Linked DNA regions of Lepisosteus oculatus. The protein of the gene in region 2 interacts with the protein of the main gene of each other region in a pairwise test. Links are inferred from orthologs where the notes say so. Each region holds a gene or a part of one and is shown on either strand. Other genes may lie near its edges.

Evidence for each region.
Region 1: the proteins of gad1a (region 2) and haao interact in a two-hybrid assay, tested with the Homo sapiens proteins (4 studies listed by BioGRID and IntAct). The two-hybrid records come from large-scale screens. The link is inferred for Lepisosteus oculatus from reciprocal best matches to the Homo sapiens genes GAD1 and HAAO.

What each region holds. Positions count from the first base shown.
Region 1 is NC_090712.1:14,666,378-14,674,542, reverse strand, and holds the start of haao (3-hydroxyanthranilate 3,4-dioxygenase), read right to left. Parts: upstream 3,840-8,165; 5' UTR 3,421-3,839; coding exon 3,332-3,420; intron 2,674-3,331; coding exon 2,595-2,673; intron 1,367-2,594; coding exon 1,283-1,366; intron 1,039-1,282; coding exon 932-1,038; intron 601-931; coding exon 511-600; intron 62-510; coding exon 18-61; intron 1-17. UniProt on the Homo sapiens protein: Catalyzes the oxidative ring opening of 3-hydroxyanthranilate to 2-amino-3-carboxymuconate semialdehyde, which spontaneously cyclizes to quinolinate.
Region 2 is NC_090707.1:16,159,438-16,167,522, forward strand, and holds the start of gad1a (glutamate decarboxylase 1), read left to right. Parts: upstream 1-4,704; 5' UTR 4,705-5,243; intron 5,244-6,192; exon of another isoform or gene 6,193-6,208; intron 6,209-6,532; 5' UTR 6,533-6,624; coding exon 6,625-6,700; intron 6,701-8,085.

The DNA.
Region 1 (8,165 bases), on a different chromosome or scaffold from region 2:
GGAATTAGTAAAAGCACCTGGTTTAGGTTTGCCGGTTCTGTGCTGCTCAGAGTTTAAAAACCTTTAAGACAAAACAATAAGATTATTACTCATGACATGTGAGCATGGTTATGCAGATTATGTGCATTCAATAAAGAAAAGAACTGTAGATCTTATCTGTAGAAATGCAGATCTAATCTCATTTTTCAGACACTGAAAAAAGATCTGGTGATCCATCCCAAATTTAAAATACACCCTGTAATGCTTCACATTGTTTAATCCCCAACTGTGACCACATACAAACACATCAAAATCAGATCAGTGGTAAATGCAGTAAAAATAAGGGAATGGTTCCAGATTCGAATAATTACAATAAATAAATTGCAGTCCTACAGTCGGTAAGAGACAGTCATTATTATTGTTGGATGATTCTTAGTCCTGTGTATCAGTGAGAGTAGCTCAGGCTGCAGCACAGTTAACACATGCTGTGCTCAATTAATACAGTTTATATCCAGAAGAAACATCTCTTACTCTTGGATGATTGGCACCAACTGGGTTCCCAGGTTTTCACAGTAGAACCACCTCTCAAAGAGCACATCTGTGGTGTTCTCAATGTAATACCTATTAAATCACAAAGCGATGTAGTCACCCGTACATTCTCTAGTACTCAAAAAGCTTTGTGTCTGTACTCTTCAAGCCTTAGCGCAATCTTTCCCAAAAAGAAAACTCAGGAAAATCTCAGGTGTGATTATAATCCTGTGGTTGTGGTAAGAAGCTTGACACAGTTCGGTCGTACACAACACAGCCACAGTTAGGATTGACTGCTGTTGGAAGTGATAATTTTTTGAGCACACCTTTACTGCCCTCTGGTGGAAAGAATTCCATTGGACCGATTATCACAGCTGCTGGAGCTGAGTCTGCCTGCAGAATGCTGGCTGAGGGGTCAGTGTACCTCAGACCATCGGTCTCTGACGGGAGCCTCCTCCTCTCCACCACCAGTCCCACAGTGTTGGCCTGCCTCTGTGGGGAGTGAGGGATCCGTGCGGGCAGCAGGAACATCTGCACACAACAGGCAACAATGACTGGACCTGCATTATCTTCACGTCTGCAGCAAAAAATGGAACTCCCTTTCGGGTGAAAGGCTTATTCACATCCTGCCACTATAACTGCAATGAACAAACATGAGATTCAATGTAGAACTTCACAATGACAGATGGAGGGACTGTGATTTGGAATCCGGAGGATTAATTACCCTAATAAATACTGCATGCTCAGCTCCTGAGGACATCTGATTGAGACTCACCTCCCCTTCTCGAATGTGCACGTCCTTGTGTTTCCCATTTTCAATCACCTTCAGACACATGTCCCCTTGGAGCTGGTAAAATAGCTGCAGCACAGAAATCTGAGTTGAGATGTTTGCTTAGACCACACAATGAAGTCACTTTCACCTTTTCCATGATAAGCAGAAGGATACTTCATTGTATTCAGTAATTACCTGGAGTGTGGGGTAATGCGAAGAGAAAGGTGTTTTTCAATGACGCTTGGTCTACTACACTTGCATAAACCTCCCTTTGTCAATAACAAAATGTTTGGATGCTATAGACATTTCCAATTTTGTTGCTCAGAGGAAAAGGGACACCACAGCTGGTTTGAATTTGAGCATGAAGTGGCAGTGCTGAGTTGAACTGCACAATTAGACAGCCGCATGGATTAATGGTTAGAGCTCTGTCCTCTCGACTGGAGGGTTGCAGGTCCAAATCCAGAGTGGAAAACTGTTACTGTATTATAGAGTAAGGTACTTGTCTCCAATTGCTCCAGTGAACGTGCTGCTCCAGGTTGTAAATGTGAATTTGTTCTCAATTTACTTGGTAATGTAAAGGAATAATAAAAAAAAAGAAACACTAGGAATTTAGGAAGTAGGACCCTATAAGCAATTGACATTTTATTGGCATACTGTGGGTTATAAACAGGCCAGTTCACTGTCCTGAAGATGAAATAAATTAAGTGCTTACCAATCATTCACCAAAAACGCCTCGGAAAAGAGGAACATGACAATGTACAAAACTTCTGAAAATTTTTGTGTGTCCTCAGAATACTTGAAAATGTGTCAGAACAGTGTATCAGCTACTGCATTTACAATTGCCACCACCGAGACAAATGACCCACATAGATATCGCAGGATTGCTTAAGGTCAATTTATGGCATCCACACGATAGTGACCTTTAGCTGATAATATGGGTATGAAGTCTCCTAGCTCACTTAATACTTTATCACAAAGATATACATCAAAAATTAATACTAGGGCTCCAGTTCACATACAGTCATACTCACAGGTATGGGTAAGTAATCCCTTTTTTACATCAAACAATTTGTATTTCTATTACTTACGTTAAAGAAACTGAGACTGAGAGATCACAATTTCTTGAAAAAAACCATTTTGATTTTGTAAAATGAAATGTGTTTATTAATGTTAAAAGTCACAACAGAAGCTGCACAATTATTACAGTCAAAGTTGTTTATGAGTGGCTCTCTAGGGAAAGAATTGACATTATTGATGAAGTCTGTCCATCCATCAGGCAACACATTTCACACTAACTGAGAATCAGGTTTCTCACCTCTTCTCCTTCTTCAATGTGATAGTCCTTCCTTGTGTTTGGGCCTCCTACAAACATGATGTTCAACTGGGAAATGTGCCTGCATGTAGAAAGAAGTGTATACATATATTACACATACAGTACAGTTACTTTGATTTCATGTCATGAATGATTTTCATGGATAAGGTGTGAATTCGAAAGAAACACAAACTATGATGTACAAAAAACTGAAACCCAGCATCAAATAGTATACTGTACATAGTGTAGATCGGGTTCACAGCACCTATTTTCTAAAAATAATTTAAAACTTAAATAGAAAACATAAATTTAAAGATTTAATCTCCAAAAAGAATATCATGCCAACTGTAACATTACTTGACAGATACCCTAAAGTTAAAGATAAGCGAATCAGAATCAGCGATAGGCGTTTCCTGTAGTTTAATCACTTGTTAATTTGGTGTTGACTGCACATAATACAGGCGCACTGACTGGGTGTCACGTTGGTATGAATATACAAGCCACTAAGATTTGCGTAAAACCATAACAACTGCAGTTGCAGTGTGTCAACGCAAAATTCTCAACTTAAGGGCAAAAAGAAAATCGTTGCCAGCATATGAGAAAAAAAAAATCACTTGTGTATCTCCTGTTGTTACATTATCTGCCCACACGAAATCATGGAGTTTTTGTTCCTTTGGCAGTTTTACCCTCTGGGGATACAAGCTGGGCACCTTCTCAAAGTACAGAAAGTTCTTACTCACATCAGTTTGTTGCACACAGGTGGAACGAAAGCTTCTTTGTTTTGTTCAATCCATTTTTGAACATTGACAAGCAGCGTTTCTGTGTCCATGAGTATATGCTTAATTCTATATTTCTAAGTACAGTGAACTTGAATTACAGCAGTGCACAAAATTCCCCTAAGAACTAAAACTGTATCTTTGGTCTTCTCAAAAGTTTTGATAAATTCAAAAAGACGGAATGAACATCTACACTACAGCTGGGTAGAAAGTACCATCGATTTACCAATACAGAACAGGAATTTCAAGTCAGAACGAGGGAGGAGTTTGTTTTTTCACCGTTTCGGAGGAAAGGTTAAATTCCATTTTTTTTTCCTCAGTAAGTTTTGAAACGGAATTATGGGCAGCAACGTAGAGCAAAGAAGCAAACAGTTCATTTCTGCAATAATTTAGACCCCTTCGTTTTTCGCTTTGGCTTAATTATTTAATTCAATAAATAACCGTTACCCTTGCGATTAAGAAGGACGTAAAAACATCCAACTGTTGCAAAGCCCAGTTCATATTGTTAAATATCCACGTAAATCAACATGCATTTATGACGTATGACGTACAATACACCGCCCACCACCACCCACTCTTTCTGTCTTACTTTCTTTATAACCCTAGGTTTCTAAGAATAATGCAGTGCAATCTGAAATTTTACCGTGCTCAATAATATACTTGTATATGGAAGTTTTAAAACTGTATTTTGAAGCATTTGTACTGTAGTTAAGACAGTTAAAGTCAGTGAATACTGTGTGGTTAAAACGTTTTCTAACCCTCTTAGTCATACGACCTTGTCCATTGTGCAATCTTGATGCACACTTCTATAATCAACAACTAGAGAGTAAAGGCCAGTTTGTGTGACTCACCCCAGTTCCCCTTTCTTTTAGTTACTTCGTTAGGACTAAACGGAATAGGGAAGACAGTGTGTAGCCAGAAAGACGAGAGGAAAATTCCCAGGGGGTTCCTCAATAAAGTATTTTTCATTAAAAAAACACGAATGTCTTACATTTCACCAAGTATGCGGCCTGCGAATGTGCTTAACATAATACTGAATAGTAAAGTCTAGGCTTTGACTTACTCGCAAGCTCGCTTTACTTAAATTGTCAGTGCGCCTGCATACTGAATAAATACAGCATGTAACAATTAGTAATTGGAAGCCAAGGTTGTGAAATTTGAAAACACAGTGACCTTGAAGGTATTATTGACGAGGTCTGGGCCGATAAGATGGTGAAAGTAGGACAGACTGTCACAGCTTGCCTTTGAGAGCTCTGGAACCTTAAAATGAGGCCGGCATACTGTATACTCCTTCCTTTTAAGCTTCACTAGTGTTATTTTTCTTTTAGCAATAATCTTAAATAAGTTACTAAACATATATTTTTTCCAAGTTAAACGGTAGACATCAAATGAAACCAAAATAATTGATTATGGCAGAACCCCCTACTGGTGGTCAGATTGATTCAATTATTTGTTGGCTCTGTAAACTACAGTACGTGTGCTGAAACAGAGGCGAAGGTTTTCTGTCCTGAAGAGGGTTCGTGACATCTCACAAACAAGGAATGGACTAAAAACGTAGCACACATAAACAGACACATAACACACAGTAGACATACTGTATTGGCATCTATGAAACAACATGTAATTGAATGTAAATGAAGATACAAGAATACACCAACGTTACACAAATCCCTTCTATCATACTTAGAACAGATTACATTTATTACATTTAAATAAGACTGCATTCAAGTAGCTTAAAGACTCAAACACATTCTGGAAATGTGACACAGAAAAATTCCTCTACGTAATATCCATGCAATTATAATTTTAATAAGGACGGAAAATAACATGTATTTGCTCTGCACCCGATCAAACCAATGATCTTTACTACTACAGTACTGTAATTTTAAAACACGACGATAGCTGTCGTTTTTAAAGGATACGCGTGTCTGCGGCGTCTGCTGGCGAGGCGCTGTAACTGCAGTTTTGAAGCTTCTAACCTTAAATAAGAGATCAGTAATTTAGGGGTTTTCTTGTGTTTGTAAATGTACGGAACAGGGAAATATATATTTTAATCTATTTTAACGGAAATCATGTAGAGTTAACGTGACAGCATTTCAGCTCTCGAGGGAAAACGGTGCTTGGAGCTCAGTTTGAGGCGGCCCAGAGCTTTGCAGCCTTTTTTCATCTTTAAGAAAATTCGTATTGGACATTTTAAATATGTATAGTGCGCTGGTGCAGTTATCTGTGGTACATGATTGCTATCTGTACTATGTATTCTCGCAATACCGTACTTTAGGTTATAACAGCTCATGGGATGAGGATTATGAAATGATATTTTTCATGTGCAAAGGTTAGATAGCGACGAAAGCAATACGAATTGCAATTTTATGCACTTTTCAAATATTTAATAGACATAATTTTGGTCGCGGAAATGACATTTTAAAAGTTATTTTATGAGTGTTAAAATATACAGTCATAACGAAGTTGAATGTTTTAAGTGGTTGTTTACGGCCGTAAAGGGGCTTGTTTATAAAACAGTTGCCTGGTGGGCTTTTAGAGCTCTACCGTATTTCACAGAGATCCAAAATATGAAACAGTGATGCAAAAACAAAAGGTCCAAAACACATTTAAACACATAGCGATCTGTCGCTGGAGTACAGGCTATGTTGCCTTGTGCTGCACGATACTATTGGAGCTCCAGTGGCGCAATCGGTTAGCGCGCGGTACTTATATAGCAGTACAAAGCAGAGCAATGCCGAGGTTGTGAGTTCGAGCCTCACCTGGAGCAGGTCTTTTTTTTTATACACTCTTAAAAGAGCTTAGTAGTTAGAATCTCTAAGATTTGTCTGCGTGTATTTTTAAAAAGTGGTGAATTGTATGCAATCGTGTTTTTCTGTTTCGCCGATAAACCGAGTATTAATCACTGATACTATTTTAAAATCCCCTAAACAATCCAAACATTCCAGAGGGATAATGCTGAGCAATAAACGACAATTTAAAAAAGGCAAATGAGGGAATGATACTAAACAGGATAAATTCATGCCTTTATTTCATAATGTAAATAGCAACATAACAGTAAGACATTGTAAAAAAATCGTATTTACTACACGACAATGTTTAAGAACTACATTTTGTACAAGTAGTTCAAGTAGGTAGCTATGTCAGCATACCCGAAGAAAGATCCACATCCGAAACGTTGTTTCTTTTCTTCTCTTTACTGCATGAAATAAACATTTATTCGTTCCTTATTTTGTAGGACCCCATCATTTTCCCACTTATTGTGAAGTCCGCTATGCAACAATGAAATTCAACTCAACTCAAAATACTTACTTGAAATACAAAATCTAGCTTCCTCTACCACGAATGAAATTTGTTACATTATACAGACAACACTTTGGGGCTGAACCCTCTAGTTACAACTGCTCTCAATACTCCAGTCCATTAAGGGTATTGTGAGGGCCGTTTGATTGCTTTCTGATTTCTCAACAATACCACAGTTAATACAATTTCGTAATGGAACCATATCTAGTTAATTGTATTCCCATTTAATAATTTCTTAAACTTAAATTCAAAACACCAATATGCGAAAAGTCCGGGTGTAAACTCTCTTGTGTTCAGTGCACGTCTTGAAAATGTCGGTCCGTTCTTGATGTTTCTTTGTATCCAGCAGGGGGAGCTGTCAGCACACTCCAAGAGAAAATATGGCACAATAAAAATATTACACAAAAGCCTAGTAGGGAATTGTAAAGCTCTTTGAAATTGTACTTGGTTTAGAAAGTACACAATCTTCCAGTTGACCACATTGCACGATTATGCAAGAACAACCTCTCTTCTGCGCGATTAGTTGATTTAATTAGTTGTTGGCAGTGCCAAGCGCCTATATTTTACATTCAGGAGTTTGATGTCTGATTCTTTATTTTTGTGGAGCCTATACTGTAGTGTACAAAATAAAAGACAGAAAAATTAAAGACTCTTGCACTGAATACAAGGTTCAATTAAAATTATCATTAAGTGTTTTTTTTTTACATTTAAACCTTATGTACATAACAAAATCTAAATGAGAGGGTTTTATGTTCAGAACTTCCTCAGTTCTTTTGAGGGAACCAGAGACTTGGACAATGTCTCCGAGTTATTCTTCTTGTTAACGTTTTGTATCGCTTGGCCATTAGAGCCAGCTTTGTTTTCATTTGGGTTTCTTGTTGTGGATGCAAATAGATGCATGTGCACATCATATCTGGATAATGTTTAGGAATAAAAGAGGTGTAATCCTTCTTTTAACCTTGAAGGGTGCAGTTATTTGATGGTAGGAGCAGTTAGGAGCGTAAGGGAAGCTATTTATATCCCTCCCTGGGCTGGCAAGGACAGGGACAGGACTATTTCTGAAGCAAGGCCAGCCTGTCTGTGCTCTCAGAGTGCAGCCTCAAGGATTGTGGGTCCTTGACTGACTTGGTTGGACATGGTGGTGTGCCACAGACAAAGAGGGAAAACATTTTTCCCAGCTTATTTAGACTGGGAGGCAAAGATAAAGACTCCATGTTTTATTTTCAAACATGTACTTTATATAGACATTTTAGAAGTCAGTATCTTACTGTAAACTCCAGGTCTCTTGCCATTACTTTGAGGACCACAATAACTACATTACTTTCTTCCCCCTGTAGTGCAGTGTTGATGAATTACTGGTGAATTCAGTAATTCAGTTCCATATTCCTTACTAAATACCTTCTGTAGGGGTCTTTACACAAATGAACAATCTCATTCTTCAGTGCTGCTGCTTTGTACCTTATCCTGCTCATGTCCTAACACATTGTATAAGGGG
Region 2 (8,085 bases):
GTTTCAGCCAGATATATCATCACATTAGATCTTACAAAGGGTTATTGGCAGATACCATTGACAGGCGCCAAAAGACAAAACGGCATTTGCAATGCCTGAGAGTCTCTATCAATATAAGGATTTGCCATTTGCTCTCTGACCCCTGCAACCTTCCCGAGAATGATAAATAAGATACTAGGCCCCCACAAACAGTACACATCTGCATATCTAGATAACATGGTGATACATAGTACTGACTGGCACTCTCACTTGCCCTGTGTACACACCGTTCTTGATTCCCTACAAGAGGCTGGATTAACAACCATCCTGTGGAAATGCAGCAAAGGGGCTGGAGAAGCACAATATCTAGGCTATATCCTCAGTATGGGTATGATTAGATCTCAGGCTCATAAGCCAGTTGCAATCAAAACCAGGCCAAGACCAGTAAATAAGAAATGGGTGAGGGCATTTCACCAGGTACTATCAATGGTTTATTTCTAGGTCTGCTACAGTTGCAGCCCCCGTACTAAATTTAATTAGGGCAAAGAATCCCTTAATGGTAAAGTGGTCACTGGGAACTGGGAGTGCTTTTCAGGCACTTAACGTTGCTCTGTGTACTGAGCTGGTTTGAATAACTCCAATTTCCTTCAAGGATTTTATCCTTTATTTTACACTGGGGCATTAGGTATCATGTGGGGTGAGCACCCCCCTGCTGGCCCCTCTAACACCTCTTTCAGCAGCAAACAGTTTTTCCCAGGAGGCCTCCCATCCAGGTACAGACCAGGCTCGCCCCTGCTCTGCTTCAGAGGGTTGCCAGTTGTGAGTCGCAGGGTGACGTGGTTGTCATGACCTTAAAAATGTCTAGGGTTTGACCAAAAGCCACAACATAAAGAGAACACCCGAGAGATCAGATTCCTCTGGGGAAAACAAATTGATTTTCTTATCACAAATCCAGGGAACCAGAAGTCAATGTTCATATTCAAATTGGGACAAAAAAAAAGGAAAAATCCAAACAAAACTGACAGTAAAAGAAAAATAAACTCAATAGGTGGGGAAAAAAGGTGGTCGTGCCTAAACAATAAGGCTGTACCCCCCTCCAAAAGTCTTCCACATTCTACACTTATCTACACTAACTAAACAAACCAAAATGAAAACAAAAGGAAACGTACAACGCCTCTTTCCCCATCCCAAAAACCACACACCACTCCACTATCTCCGCTCCCCATATCCGATCTCCCAGGGCCCCCTTGTCTTCCCCTTTTAAATGCTCCCACCATCTACTTAATTAATTAATTGGCAACACCTGGAAAAAGAGGAGACAGCAATTAGAGAGGAAAAAAAACACTCCAACCAAAGGTATCACAATGGTATGATATTAAAACCAACAGGCTCCAGTTAAAGGAATAAAAGTACCATGTATTCCAACCACAGGTTAAAAGGGATATTTGAAAGGGCAAGAGAGGCATCTAAATGCTTGTTTGAATTGAGGCTCAAATAAGGTATTTCTGTGACACACCTTCAGAAGAATCAAAATAAAGTGTATATAGAAAAAATGGTAAACTTCTAGACAATGAAAGGGAAATGCTGATGTATTGAATTACTCTGGTACTGTATTTACCTAAGGGAAGTCAGGCAGAGGAAGGACAACGTTCTGTATTCAATAGAAGAAGGAGAAGCACCCAATATTAATAAATTGCCAGGGCTTGATGGTATTTTACTTATTGTAATCAAGGAAATGAGAGTTATCCAGAAGCCATTGATGGAACCAACAGTTGCTCAAGACAAGGGTAGTACCCAGGGACTGGAGAACGGCTAATATAGTTTCCATTCATAAAAAGGTATGAGCAATTGAACGAAGTAATTACAGACCAATAAATCAGATTACATGTAAGGTTACATGTTAGGTAAGGAACCAATTGTAAGAACTAAACTAGAGGATCAACTATATGAGAGTAATATCCAAGGAAAAAATCAGTATGGATTTGGAAAAGGCAGCCATTTTGTTAATTTGAGCAAGCAATAACCGTAATGGACATACATGGAGCATATGATATTTTGATTTTTAGAAGTGTTTTGATAAACTTCCCCATAGAAGATTAAGTCTCAAATTGTAGGTGGTAGGTATTCGGAGCATATAGAGTGTGTGAGCTGAGAATTGGTTATTAAATACCAAGTCGAGGGTATAAATAAGGGATGGGTACTCAGATTGGGATGGTGTAATTAGTGGAGTACCACAGGGATCTGTACAGGGACCACTGCTGATCTTAATTCATTTCAACAATCTATATTCCAGAATTATTATCTAAGCAGGTTTGCAGATTATACAAAATTAGGAACAACAGCAAACACTGTAGAAGTAGCAGATGAAATTCAAGAAGAACTGATGAAATTTACGACTGTCAGGTGACCTTTATGTAGGTTTGTGTAAGGATACCGCATGTACTGTAGGTCCTAAAACTGTAACATGAATACAAAATGAGAAACAATGAATGAAACGTGGCTCCTGATGAAAGGTACTTAAGTGTTTATGTCTAGGAAATGTAAATGTTGCATCAGCAATGTGGGGAAGCAATTTAAAAAGGCAAACAAAATATTAGGATATATAGTTTAAAAAGCCTAATTTAAATCCAGGGATTTTACCATGTTAAAAACTACCCAGCCATGTTGCTGAAGCCAATACCCTGTTTTTTATTCTAAGAACAACTGTGTGAGCTCCCCAAATTAATTAACTACTGAACTACCAAACAGGCTAGATGGATCTAATGTAACCTTTCCTATGTTCTCATACAAAAGATTAATAACAATTTGGTCTGTTTTTTGCTCAGTTCTAATACAGAATTATAGATCATTTAAACCTACTTTAAATGTTTCAGAAATTATTGTGAACTGTCTGCAGGGTTTTTGTGGATTTTTTTGTTGCTTTGAGCAGTATATCCATCCCAGCTATTAGATCCCTTTTGGACCCAGTGCAGCATTTTAGATTGGTTGTTTGTTGCCTTGGAAAAGTGTGATGCCTCATGCTCATCACGTTAACCCAGTTCTCTTGGGTTCATATCAGCACATGGCTCCATGTGACCGAGCTTATTATTGTCTGGAACAATAAATCAGGCCTGCTTGGTTTGTATTTTTTTGTACTCTGAAAGTCTATTGGTTGATTTAAAAAATAAAACATGAACGAGCACCATCTACTGGAGTGCTAGTCCACAAACTGAATTGTGCTTATAATACAGAGCACGAATTACATCCACACAATGGTTTTGGTATTCTGAAAGGCGAATATTTTTACATAGAAGTCGCATCAGAGTAATATTTTACATGAATAAGTAGCCACAAGCCAGAAACCAGTCCACAATCTATAGTAACGTCGCCGAGACCCTGTTATCTGCTTTCATCCTGCGTGGCCCAAGGGATAATAAAATGAAAATGAGCATTTTTCTTTACAGTTATCCCGTTTTCAAAACAGGGATACAATAATTATGACGGTTATCTACAATTGTCTTTCCCTCATTTAAATTGTAGTCGAAATTCTTGCCTCAAGCCCATTATATGTTTTCCTACAGTTTATAGGCGATTTCACAGGTTGCTGCAAATGTACGCTAACCGTTTGCGACGATACAAACGGCTGTTTTCATCTCGTCAAACTTGTGGGGAGCTGTCCAAGTGCTGAACACATTACGAACAGCGCTCCTCACATGACCACAAAAAGAGCGTCTGAATATTTATTACAGCCATGGTCAAAGGCTGTTTTATTGTGTATGTGTCAGTGCAAACTCTTTTTTAAAAAAACCCTTAAGGCTGCTGTGCAGTCCAAATTAGTTTATTTAATATTTAATTGCATTCAACGCTTCAATTAATTGTCTACAAACTCAGTACTACAATCATTTAGGCAAAACGTACAGTCGAAAGCATGTCATGATACACAACTGCTACTTTTGAGAGAAATAGAAATGCCGTTAGTAACTTGATCTAAGTCATTGTTCTAATAAACGGGAATGTTTGGTTTAGCATCTTAATCTTAGTCACGAACTTTCGATGTTGCAGATTGGGGGTCTGGTGGTTTACCAAAATCGTATTTTCGTTCATTTCCCTTTCAGTATTTTTGCATTTTCTGTGTATTTAAATATTTTAAATATATAATAATAATTAAAACTGAACCAGATGTGTGGGAGGGATCTCCTTAACTTAATTATTATTCTTAGAATTACGTTGAGCATTTTATGGTTTGTCATTTATCTGCTGCATTATAATCCCTTCAACAACAATAAAACATAATCTTACCTGACTTCCAGTGCACGAATCATATTCGTTCTTTGTTTATAACAATTATGTTTGCTGAGTGTCAGAAAAATCTATGCTGAAAGACTAGAGATCACTGTTTTTGTAAGAAACGCCGCCAAGCCTGGGTTAAGTGAATCTCTAGTGCCATCCTGCGGACATTTTTACAGTCTCTGTGTCTTACGGCAAGACGCACAATTTCTAACTGGTACACTCATCCCAGATGAAAAAGCAACAGTCTGTATTAAATATCTTGTCCCAGCATTAATGTCTGAAGCCTGTAAAGAATTCAACCTATTTTCCTGGGAGAAATTTCACATTATCCAAATTAACACATCAAAAGTTTATTGATATCATGACGAATTTGGTCTACAGTATTTTTTTCTCATCCGTGGCACAGCTTCAAATCATTATTTGATCATAATAGTTTTGTTGGTGTTCTGTTGTTAGGATCGTCTTCGTGATGACCAAACACTTTGGTGTCTGAACCTTCCGTCCTTCCTCTCACAAATAAATGAGACGTGTTGACTACGTACTGTGTTACTCACAGGGTCAAACTTCCCAAGTCCATCTTCGTGATCGGGATTCATAATCGAGGTACAAAGCCCCAAAGGCAATCAAACACCTGCAAAAAAAAGTCACGTTATCACCGAATAGCGACACAGCTTTCCGTGATTTTAGCAGACAAAGCGGATCTGTTCGATATTGGAAGAACCCCTTTCAGCACCAGAGGAGGTGTTGGTGTGACTCATGCGTGCGTAGTAACGGATAAATAGGCGATTCACGCTTTAAAACAGCAAATCAAACGTACTTCAGCAAAAAAGGTCATAGTGAATGGAATTTTTGCAGTCTATTGATATTCAGACGTCGTTTTCCTTGGAGTGTTATAAACGCCCTTAACGTTGCATGGCTATAAGGCTGTAATTTGGTTGTTTTGAGAGAGTTTCTTGGACTCTGCTACCTGTGTACCTGCCTGGACGCAGAAAAAGGTAAGATACAGCTTTAAGATTATCTGTTATCGCATCACATTTAATGAGTCTGAGAATACTCTTTTAAAAAGTATCATATCTATGATTTACGACTCTTGCATGATTAAAAGCTCTGTGGGAAATAAGCATCCATCACATAATGCTAAATCAACTGCTCATTATAGATTTGTGAAACGGGAGTAAAAAATCTAATAACGGACAAATAGTCACCAGCACCTAGACAGACATGAAGTAGTCTAAGATCTTAATTAGTATAACACATTAAATTACTGGAGTATTAAGACAAGTCTGGAACAAAATTCGTAAACTCTGAGGTGCATTATTTATTTGTTTTGGGGTAAGCAATGAATAATAATTTGTCATGCTGTGGTAATTATTGACAGAATTGAATCGTAATCATACATAAACGTGCTATTTTCCCCATATCTTTATGAAGTCTGCATTTCTGGACAGCATTAACCACGACATCAATTAACTCATTCTTCATTTGTGTTGCGCAGAAACAATTTTCCTCTGATCTATCGAACCAAATAATAATAATAAGCCAATGTATGCTCGATGAATAAATAAGTAATTCGAAGATTGCGGAAAGTTTAAAAAAACTTAACCTTAATATATGGCATTTTTTCAGATTTATCAAGAACAGTGCTATAAAAGGTTAGATTTGACTTGCATTTAGCATATTGCTATAATTAAGATTGATTTTACAGTCTGCTACACCAGCTCCATTATCTACAGACAGGACGTACAGTAATTTAAAAGAAGGCAGGGGTATTTATATTATTCTGTCTCGCCGAAATACACCTACTGATATCATGGCTGTACTGGGGAGTATTCGTTGATCAAATATGCAACCAGGGCATTCTGGTTGGGATTCCACGTAATGAGTCTGAACATCAACATTTATAGAGGCTGTTAAAGCAACATTTCAGTATGCATCTCAGTGTTTTGCTCAGCCTTGGAAGGTGAACTATGTGGGGTTAGACGCGAAGACTACACAGCAGTCTAGTTGGTCACGTCAGAACCACCTGAGTTTCTATTAGGTGGAAATAAATGAGCCCGTTTCAGTGAAGTATGACCACGACTGCTGAGGAGTTATGCGTTTTTTTTATTATTTTCCGTCGGACTAGCTGCAATGCAACCGTTTGAAACTAACAGCATATAAATTCAGCGTTTTGTTTCATGTTACATTAATGTAGACAATCGTAGTAATAGATATTCTATGTAATCGTCTATATTCCTGTGCTTTGTTCCAGCGGTTTTAAAAATGCCCTGTCCTCTCCTTGCAGTTAACCGCAACTTTTCATCTTGGTGAATTAAGACAGGTTTCGGAGAAAGTGACAGCACGTACTGGAGCCAGGACTTTTGTATCTGAGGACTGATGGCGTCGTCTGCACCTTCTTCCTCTGGCGGCGCTCCGGATCCCAACTCGACTAATTTACGACCGCCATCCACAAGTAGGTCTATCGCAGATAAAACGCTATTTCACGTGTGCTATTTACTCCCTAGTCAGTGTCATTAATCACGGACCGAAAATAAAAAGAGCCAAATTCGAAATCCCTCCTATCTGACAAATCGCGACACCAGAGCGAATAGAGAGCAGACTCGACACTAACTCTGGTCTCAGAACAGAAGATGTGCTAATGCAACTAAAAGCCAAAAAATAAACATGGAAAATTCTAGAACAGAATGAAAAGTGAAGTGAAAATCCAGTCATCCGACCAAACTGTCAAACCAGAATTGTTAGTCTAGAAATATTGTAGCCTGTATGTGCTACAAACAGATGTAGGTTGAATTGGACGCATGTTCAGAATTGTTTCCTTTTTTTTCGGGGCTATAAATTTGGGAGAAATTGCTAGTGGGTCTTGATTTATGTTATTTCCATCATGATTTCAATTCTCTCCATCATTTCTGTTCTTGTTGTGCAGTTTTGTATATGTGAACGCACACGGTCCGGAAATAAAATTAATATTTTTAGTAAGTATTCTCTTGCCCTTTTTCTGCTCTTTGCTTGGTATCTTAAAACATTTGAGTGAGTGGTTCAAAGTGTAATTATGTGAAAAGTGGCGCTAATTATAGCTGCACTGAATTGCCCCTAATGGCTCCGGGTTTGCGCTGAGTTATTGAAGTGTCACTGGAATGGAGCGGATGCAGAAGATAGTAATAAACGGCTAACAGTTCTGCCTCAACAATTTTCACAATCAGCTACAGCAAAGGGGGGAAAAAAAGATTCGATGACATAATTACCTCACACAATGGCAGAATAAAAGAGACGGTCCGCATCAGCTTGATAAATGCTGCCTTTCTAGACGGAAAAAAAATCGAAGCAAAAATCTCCCTGTTTCTTCCTAATAGGAAAAAGACGAAAGTGTGTCACGTCTACATATCGTTATAGACCTGTCTAGAGAGTGCTTTCTGAGCTTCAATCCAAAAATATAAGTCTATATAAACACATCTATTTAAAATACAGAATATAATGATACCGAGAAAGGGGCTCGTTTAAGGATTTAGTTGATGCATCAAATCGGGTGTAAATTAATATTTTGTTTTTATTCCGTTTGTTTACCCTCTTAAAATGAAGACTCTGTGGTTTTGTGTGTGTGTGTGCGTGTTTCTGTCTGCTGCCTCTCGTAGTCTGTCATTATCTTACTTTATCACGCTTTATCGCTGACCTGAGGCTGGCCAGGGGATCGCATTGTCGCCACCCAGCCTTTTGCTAGGGACTGCAAAGCAAGAACACGAACACAAGCTGAAAGGTAGACACAGGCATTACCGCTGTTCCATTCTAGGCGCAATAATGTACCGTATGAGGACGCTGATATTAAAATAAATCGACACAACA